Cricetulus griseus: one gene and its partner. The protein of the gene in region 2 purifies or fractionates together with the protein of the main gene of each other region. This does not show direct contact. Links are inferred from orthologs where the notes say so. Each region holds a gene or a part of one and is shown on either strand. Other genes may lie near its edges. The genes, in order: Ahcyl1 and Josd2.

Evidence for each region.
Region 1: the proteins of Josd2 (region 2) and Ahcyl1 purify together in Homo sapiens (affinity purification with mass spectrometry; 4 studies listed by BioGRID and IntAct, counting the BioPlex papers as one, with this or other methods). This does not show direct contact. The link is inferred for Cricetulus griseus from reciprocal best matches to the Homo sapiens genes JOSD2 and AHCYL1.

The regions. Positions count from the first base shown.
Region 1 is NW_023276806.1:49,463,600-49,468,130, reverse strand, and holds the start of Ahcyl1 (S-adenosylhomocysteine hydrolase-like protein 1), read right to left. Parts: upstream 2,913-4,531; 5' UTR 2,652-2,912; coding exon 2,532-2,651; intron 1-2,531. UniProt on the Homo sapiens protein: Multifaceted cellular regulator which coordinates several essential cellular functions including regulation of epithelial HCO3(-) and fluid secretion, mRNA processing and DNA replication.
Region 2 is NC_048599.1:153,334,826-153,339,325, reverse strand, and holds the start of Josd2 (josephin-2), read right to left. Parts: upstream 3,046-4,500; 5' UTR 2,995-3,045; coding exon 2,953-2,994; intron 2,840-2,952; exon of another isoform or gene 2,786-2,839; coding exon 2,728-2,785; intron 2,351-2,727; coding exon 2,188-2,350; intron 727-2,187; coding exon 601-726; intron 7-600; coding exon 1-6. Other genes in the region: Aspdh (putative L-aspartate dehydrogenase), read right to left, coding at 3,046-3,157, 3,415-3,497, 3,725-3,935, 4,009-4,229, 4,303-4,452. UniProt on the Homo sapiens protein: Cleaves 'Lys-63'-linked poly-ubiquitin chains, and with lesser efficiency 'Lys-48'-linked poly-ubiquitin chains (in vitro). May act as a deubiquitinating enzyme.

The DNA of each region.
Region 1 (4,531 bases), on a different chromosome or scaffold from region 2:
AGGGTACAAAATTGGGTATCATTATAGTTGAATAATAAGATACATATGTTTTTACACATGTTGTACCTCAAACGAATCAAACAATAAATAAAAGCTGTCAAGATAAGTACACTAGGATCTGATCTTATTGAGAAGCACTGAAGTCACCTATATTCTTTGGCCCTAGGAATGTCCTCAATTCCAGAAGGGCCTCAGAAATGGGAATGATCCAAGAGTTACTTGGTTGAGTCAAGCTGGAATCCTCATGGGTGAAGGACTACACCATTTGAAATAGGCCTTTTTCTCACACTATTCAGTACCATGCCAAGTTCTTTTCCACCCTAACCTTTCCCATAGTTTGTCACATTATCACCACATGGAAGAGGTACACAAGTGACCTAAGTCATAAGTCCAACTCAAATTCTGAGGGGGAATAAAAACAAAACAAAACAAAACAAAACCAGATTACCTAGAATTTACTACATGACCTTGACTGGTCCATTAACTAAATAAATACCTTTTATCATCATTAAGGGAAGGGCAATTAGTCATCATAATGCATTTTAATACAACGTAAATGCCACACAATAAAGTTCAAAGAACAAGATTAATAACAAGGAGACATACATACTAGCAAATGGAAACTTACAACAGGGTCTTCCCACACTCCTGGCAGACTTGCTTATTTTAGCTAATGGGAGTCTCTAAAGTCATTAGCACTTGGCTTCGCAATAATACTCATTTGTGTTATTCCTCTCAGGAAGAAGAAAGGAAAGGGGATATTTACTGCTTGTTGGCATTTGGCATTTCAGTTACTGGTTAGCCAGATTGACAATTAACAATTGAGTACTATATGCAAGGTACAGAGTTAGGTTCCAGAGATAAAATGGTAAACAAGAATCCTTGCCTCTAGGAGTTTACAATGTATAAAGTATACAGTTTACAATGTATACAGATTTTGGCTTATCAGTATTGGCTTGCAAGAATATAGTTACACTGAAATAATGGAAAGGAACAATAAAAATACTCTCAAGTATTTAGATGAAAGGAGGTGGGTTTATGGTAAGAGATAAGAGTCAGAGGGATTAGGCTATCAGATTTTCCTATTCTTTCCCTTAACTCATCTGAGGTACTATGCTTAAGCATTTTGCTTGTAAGAACTCTGTGTATCCAAATAGTGTAGATTGCAAAAGGTCACTTCTTCAGCAAAGCAATCAGAGGAACCAGAGCACTAAAAATGAGGTCAACTGGCTCCCTTAGGATCAAGGAACCTTCCATAACCTTTTAAAGGCACTATTGGTAGAAATCTTTTAATTTTGTGAGAAAACAGAGCTGAAGCACACAGTGATGACTTCTCTTTTCTAGACCTGTTTTTATTAATTTCCTGGAAGAGGGGGTGTTGGGATGCCCTCTCAGGTGCTTAGAACAGCTTAACTAGTTCAGGTGCGGGAACCTGGGGGGGGGGTTAACTACCCCTGCAAACCTTGCTGTTTTGAATTTATACCAGACCTGAATCCCAGCAAATACTGTAGGCACGGTTAGCTTTGAAATGACTTTATACAAGAGGGAAATATCTGTCATGTTTTTCATTGGCTTTAGGAAGGTCACCTCTTTGCAAAGGTTCTTTGGTCTACTGTTAACTGGGTGCCAGATAAGTGGAAAGTCAAGGAATGTTTGACAGAAAGCACAGGGGATCTCAATCCCACCAACTGAGAGGGCTAGTTAGACTCAGCCCTCCATAGATTCTCTTTCCCAAGAGCTGTAGAAGGATGTCCTTTGGGCTGCAACCCACAGCACAATAGGCTGAACTTGTTCTGCTTCAGTAAGTGCAGTAAAGAATGAGCAATCATTTCTTACCACCCACCTCTCCAACCCACCCAAGCTTCTTTCTGGAGGGATGTCTAAATGATCTATTCACATGACTGGGATCAGCCTGCATCCATGACAGTGTCTACTGTCACCAACCCCTCAATTTCCCTTTCTCTCACACTTCCAAGCAACTGGAAGCCTGGAAGGCGAAAATCATTTTGACTTTCAATTTCTTGTTGCTTTTAGAGCCTTCAACCAGTTCATACAGTTTTTCCTCTTGCCTCTAAGCTATCACGCAGTTGTTGGTTAAACGGCCAACGCTCCCCAAGAGATGCCTTGAAAAAGCGCTGCCCGATTTCCCCACTTACTTAAGGGGAAATTTCCTGTATACCCTCATCCCCTGGAGAGGTCACAGGGGTCAGCTGAGTCGTTCACCCCCTCCCAGTCTTTTTCTCAAGGCTCTCCATCCAGGAAAAAGTCAGCCGCAAATATAAGGCCTGGCCCTGCCGGGCTTCAGAAAGATCCAGGAGGACTCCGGCCGAGGGACAAAGAAAAGCGAGGTCAGAGCGGCCTCTTCGGCCTCAGATAGGCCCATGGCCGCTCACCGGCCACCCCCTACATCGTGTCAGTGGTCCCCGAGCACCCTAAACCTTAGCCCGAAGTCCCGAACTACCCGAGCCCGGGCCCGGGGCTTGCTCGCGCCCCTTCCGCGAGGGCCCCCGCCGCCACCCAGAGCCCCGCACCTTCTTGGGAGCCTTGGTGACTGTGGCCATGAAGGAGTACTTCTCAGCGTCCTCGATCTCCTTGGCCTGTTTCAGCTCCTCCCCGACACCGGGCAGCGGCATCGCGTCAGGCATCGACATCCCCCGGCCGGCCCGGCCCGCGGCTAACCCGCCGCCCCCGCCTCTTTCCCTCACGGGCGCCCGCCCGTCCGCGCGGCGCCCTCGGCCACGCGCTCGCCCGCCTTCCCGCCAGGCCCCGCGCCGAGCTGCTGGTGCTTCCGAAGGGCTGTGACCCGCGCGCCTCGTCGGCACCGCCGTACAAGACTGCCGGACAGCGACGGCGGCCACAGAAGAACCAGAAGCAGCAGCGCGCAGCTCCGACTTGCCCGCGCAGCAACCTCCGCCGCACGCAAGCACGCACGCAAAGTAAGGGTAGAGGGCGGAGACGCCACGTCAAGTACTGGCAGGCCCAAGGAGGGTGGGGAAAGAGGCGGGGAGAATTGGCGCAGTCTGCTGATGTTACCACGCTGGGCCGGGCCACAAGAACAGTCCTGCCTCCTTTCTTGCTCCTGGGTGATGAGCTTTCCAGGGCGACTTGTACCATGTACGCCGCCAGGTGGTGCCATCAGCCCTGTTGAGCCCGGTGTGGTTCCTATAAGGATGCCTCAGGACTGAGCGGCCTTGGACTACCAAATGAATTCCCCAGGAGACCTTGGGGTAGGGAGGTGGCCCGGGACAGGAGTGGGGTGGGGGACGGAGGGGAGGGCGTATAAAGAGCGATGCTTGGGGCCATAGGTCAGAGTCCCACAGGACACATCTTAGGGCCTTTTCTGGAACAGCCTTCTCACTCGGCCCACACCATGGCTGGACCCTTTGGACCAGAAGCCCATTTCCAAGGGACAGTGTTTGCTTTTTGACTTCATAGGGGGCAGAACAAGCTGAGAGCAGTCTGGTTTCTACCCAACCCTTTATGACCTCCATCACTATCTCCTCCTGGGCCTTGTCTGTTTACAAGACCTTCAGGCTGCCGTGCTGATGTCAAGAGGTCATTAAGATAGGGTTGATGGATCAGAAGGTAGAGAACTAAAGGCAGATTGAGAAAAGGTCGGGCCAAATTGACCCTCCTGCTGCATGCTCTCTCTGGACATTAGTCTCTGCCTGCCAGCTCTACTCGGAGTGAGCATGCCATGAGTGCGTTCAGTAGCACTCTCACAGTTTCTACTGTGTACGGTCCCTGTGTAAGGCCCTGGATGGCAGAGGTGCCTGTGGCACATTTATGGTTTCCAAGAATTCGTCCATTTGGAGAGGGAAAGCTTGTTTGTGTCAGCTGAGGTAGTTTGTCCTTTGAACATCATTCAAATGACATTGGCTCCAGTTCCTATGTCCTGTGGAAAGTACAATGTTGTCCCCAGGATTTCTGTGAATTACTGAGGGGACTTAGGTTTTGATGGTCACCCTTGGCTCTAGTTTGCTGCCTAGTCTGAAATTTTATTCACTATTCCAGTCTTATGACTGTTTCTTTAGCTCTTGGTGTCACATCAGCCTGTTCTCTTTCCAACTCCCACCCCTAAACCACAAAAATGAAGCTATAATATGTAGCAAAACTTTTAATGAAGGTTTGTGGGTCACAGGGGAGAGGTTACATCACATAGCAAACAGTCTTCAATCACATTTCTGAAATGTTCCGAAAAGTTATTCCAGCCATCTCATCACCTTGGGATTTCTCAATGGCCACAAAATCCCACAAAACTCTAGCATCCTACACATCCAGCTGCCGCCTGCTCCCTTTTCATCCCTTTCCTTCACCCTTCTCTCTTCCGTGGATTCAGAGAAGCCAGATTCTTCTCTACTGTGTTCAGAGTAAGTCTTCCCAGGGACCTTTCTCCTAAATTCTTCTCCACTACTCTTTCATATCTAGCACCTCACCGGGTTGTGGTTTGTTTGTTTGTGATAGCGGTTCACTATGTAGCCCAGGCTGGCCTTGAACTTTTACCCTGTGCTACTATGCCAGGCCTATCAAG
Region 2 (4,500 bases):
AGCGGTCTGGGGAGGGGAGTGACACAGCATGAGGCCCCAGAGGCCCTTGGATACTGCTTCCCTCCCCAGAACAGCCACTCACCACCCACTGACCTGTCACCCTCTACCTGTCAAGTCCAGCTTTGGTTTTGTTTAGGCAGGGTCTCAGGTGTCCCAGATATGCACCACTACAGCAGTTCATGGGGTGCTGGGGATGGAACCCCAGCCTCATATACATGCTGGGTAAGCGTTCTGCCAATGGAGCCCCAGCCCCTCAACGTTTTGTTATTTGCCTTTTTGAGTCAGGGTCTCTATATGCAACCCAGGCCAGCTTCCAATTCAGTTTTGCCTCAGGTCAACAGGCTGGTCTCACTACTCTTAACCCCATTTCCTCAGTCATGAGTCACTCATGTCACTTGGACCCCCCACAGAATACCTTTCACTGGTACCAAGTTTATCAGTTTAGCTCATCAGTCAGTCAGTCAGTCAGTCAGTCAGTCAGTCAGTCAGTCCCCATTAGCCAGAGGCTCTCTGGCAAAAACCTCCCCCATCTACCTTCAAGTCACCCTCTGCTTCATCCCACAAACCCAGGGCCAGTGTAGCCCACAGCCTAGGCCCTACCTCCTCCTGTCCCACCACACAGCGGCCAGGCCCAGGCCTTGCAGGGCAGCCATGATCACGTTGACATCATAATTGCCGGTGCCCAGGAGGCTGCGATGAGGGTTCAGCCGGGAGTCTGGGGCCAGCCTGGGGGTGAAGGGGGCAGAGCCAAGGTTGGGAATCCTGGAAAGGCCTTCAACTTCTCACACAGCAGGAGAGGCCCAGAGCCTGGCTTTTGGCTCTTTCTCTTTAAGCCCCACACAGCTCATTGGGCTCTAAGCCCTGTTTTTCCTCCCATTCCCAACACCTGTACTCTCTGCCTAGCTAAAGTTTTTGTCTTTTTCCACTCAGAAACCCTTCCCAGTCTCTAGTCTCTCCATCCGATCCACCTCCAAAAGCCTTGAGCTGCCTGCCTCTCTCCTACTCCCACCTCTCCCATGACTCCCAAGTGCTCTGGACAAAGTCTCTGCCCTTCCATCTGCCCTTCTCATCATGGCCTCTTTCCAGACCAGCCTCAGATGTCATTTCTTCTGGTAGAGAAGCCATCAAACCCCCAGAATGGGCACAGAGCTCCCCTGAGTGACAATGCCGCTCATGTCACCATATTTGAATACAGAATGCCTCTTTCATTTGGCAATACCCTGCCCTACTCTGTTCACAGCCCTCCCTGGTGCCCCAAATCCCGGGGACAGACTCTCACCTCCTCCAGTGGCAAGTGGTTCTTGCATAGCCTCAGCACCAGCTCTTACCAGCCACCTATCTCCAGCTGTCCCTGTGCCCAAGCCTTCCCTCTAAGCTCTCTCCAGATGTGACCCTGTTCCTCTGAAGAGCTGGCCCCTTGGAGAGCAGTGACATGGAGGGAACCACTTGTGTTTGCTCTGTGTCCCGAGCCTTCTCCTCACTACATCTGCCTTAGCTCTAGTTGTTCAGCATGCTCCTGGCATGACAGAGCTGGTGGCAGGGGGATGGATATCTCCTAACATAAATCTACAGTCTGAGGGTGCTGGCTGAGCAGCAGTGAGAAGATGTGAAGGCTGCCTCTGGATGTGGACATGAACTGCAGGCTGGGGTGTTGGCGTATCTGTGAAAGGATTGTGGGGCCTAGAAGTGGGACTAGGAAGAGAGTTTAAGAAAGTGATGGTTGAAATTCTGAAGGGCACCTACGTGACCAAGAAGAACAAGAATGCCTGGGTAAGAGCTCAGAATCACCACAGTGGGGTCATCTGGGGCCAAGGAGAGTAGTGAAGGAGAAGCTGCAGACTGGTAGGCAAGGACCAGAGCACCCAAAGCCTTGGAGTTCAGGCTGAAGGACCTGGGCTATTCTCTAGGAGTGCCAGGGACCCCCAGAGGAATAAATGCAGAGGAGGGGGAAGGCAGCTGTGGGGCTGTGTGTAGGATGGTCAGGAGGAGAAACACAGACAGCTGGGAGGCTGTGACAAAGGCTCAGATAAGAGAGGTTGAGGCCAAAGCTGGGTTGAGGCTGTGAGAAGCAGCAGGTGGAAGGGCAGACATCAGCTCCAGGATCTGCGCCCCGGCCTTGTTAGTGCCCAGGCAGGCTCCCATGCCCCTCAGCCCTGCTCTTCCAGGGCCAGGACCTAGGGCAGTCACCTCTTGCAAATTTCATCTGCAGCTTCCTGGCTAAAGAGCTGTTGTTGGAGGACGTTGTTGAGAGCGTGGACCGCGCACAGCTCTAGCCGCTGCCGCTCGTGGTACACTGAGGGTGGGCTCGGCCGCGCTTCCGGGGCCTGAGACATGCCCTCCTCGGCTCCTGCTGGGGGTGGTACAAGGAGAAAGTGTTAGGGACCCAGGATCTCGGCCATCTGGGTCTCCAGACTCCTGTGTCCCTGGGCAACAGCCACTGAGATGGGCACTGGAGCCAGCTTGGGAGGAAACGACCCAGCTACCTAGGCTGTCTCCGAAGCGTAGAGGCATCTTTATGCCCTAGTCCTAGGGGGAAAGGGCTCTTTTTTGCTCACTTGGCAATAGAGATCCACCCCCACTTCATGTCTCTAAGCAAAAAAAAGTCCGGATCACTATAACCTAGTAACGAAGTATCGCCCCTTCTGTCCCTAGGAAACAATACCTTTTTGGTTCCCAAGCAACAGAGTACTCCCCACCCGCTTGGTAACCGGTCCGATTTCTGATCACCTAGCAATGGAGGACTCCTCCTTCCCCGTCTCTGGGTAACAGGGTCTCTTCTGGTCGCCTAGCAACGAAAGACTTCCCCTCATCAATAACCAGGGTTCTCTCCTCCCGTCACCTGGCAACAAGGCCCTCTCCCAGTCACTAAGCAACAGGAGCTCCCCTCTTCCTGTCACCTGGCAACCAGGCACGCTCCCACCCGCCTCCGCACGGCACTCGCTTGGCCCTCACCCCGTCGGCCTCTCTGCTCGCTGGGACCGGCCGCTTTCTCATTCCCTGGGTAGCGGCCGAGTGGTACCACGCTGACTGGGCAGGCAGGACGGACTACAGCTCCCGACCGCCCGAGCACTCCTGACTGCAATTCCCGAAGGCCTCCGAGGCGCCTAAATAGGACGCGCGGTACGGAAGTCCGCCGGGGACGCTCTGCAGCGCGGAACTACAACTCCCGTCGGACCACACAGCCAGTTTTCATGCACCCCCAGGGCTCACTGCAGTCTAGAGGTTTCTGGGAAATGTAGTAACTGGGGCTCTCGCGATAGCTTCCAGGAAAATGGTTTGTGCGTATGCTCGTGCGCTCGCTGCTATGGCGTCACACACAGTGTGTTGAAGCGTGATGTAATAGAGTTAGGGGATAAGGAACTAAAGAGGCCAAAGAGAACAGCCGACAGAACTCTGATGTTTACTGAGACACACAGTGGTCGAGGTGACAGCAAGGGCAGCGGGGGAGACTTGTCAGCAGAGGTGAATCCCAGGTCTGGAGGGGAGCTGGCAGCAGCCTGTGGGGAGAATGAAAGACTAGAATGACCACACAGACATGCAAGCAGCCATGGCGGCCGTGGGCTTTGAAAATGATAGTGTAGTACAACCCAAAGAGGATACTCAGAAAGAGATGTGGGGTGTGGATGCAGAGACAAGAGGGGGGCTGAGACTCAGAGAAAAAGAGAGACCTGGGAGAGAAAACTAAGGATGGGCAAAGACAGACAACCGGGGTGGGACATCCGACATGTGAGTTCTGCAGGGCACAAAAGTCAAGGGACTCTTGGAGAGGTCTGGACGCACCCAGTAGGCTGCCCCAGAAGGCTGTGACAGTAGCAGAGCCGGTGACAGCGCCAGGCTGGGCTGGGTTCTCTCTGTGGGTGTGCACAGCAAAGCTGTGGCCTGTGGGCCCTGGGGGGCCTTTCAGCTCCACGTCCACCACGTGCATGTCTTTGAGGCTGCAGCCAGCGGAGAAGGGTAGTTAGTACATCTGGCCTGTACACAGGTGGGCCACTTACTTCCGTTGCTCACCTAAGGTCAGCCACAAGCACCCCAATGACACGGTCGAAGCCTAGACTGGGGGCAGCCAGGGCAGCAGCTGCCATGGTGTTAGAATTTCGGGGGGCCAAGGGGCAGAGCCCACGCACAGGGCCCTCGTAGAGCACTGTGCGCGGCCCACTGATGTGTGCTGCAGCCAGGGACCCCTCCAGTCGGAAGCCATCAGGATGTGTGGCCATGGTGACTCGAAGGCTCTGGAAACAATGGCAGGGTCAGGAAGCTGAGACTCTTACATGTTCCCTCAGTTGCAGCCCATATGGTTCTCACCTGGAGGCCTCCCGATGCATCCAATCTCCTGATGTCTTCAGTCCCCCACAGGGCTCCTCGGGCCACAAACACAGTGTGGCCCCAGCAGTTTGATGCCTCCATGAGCTGCTGCTCTGTGGTCTGGTCAGCCAGAGCTGAGGGAGACCCCACCTTGGGAAGTATGGTAGAGAGAGGGAAGGCCAAGACATAGATCATTGC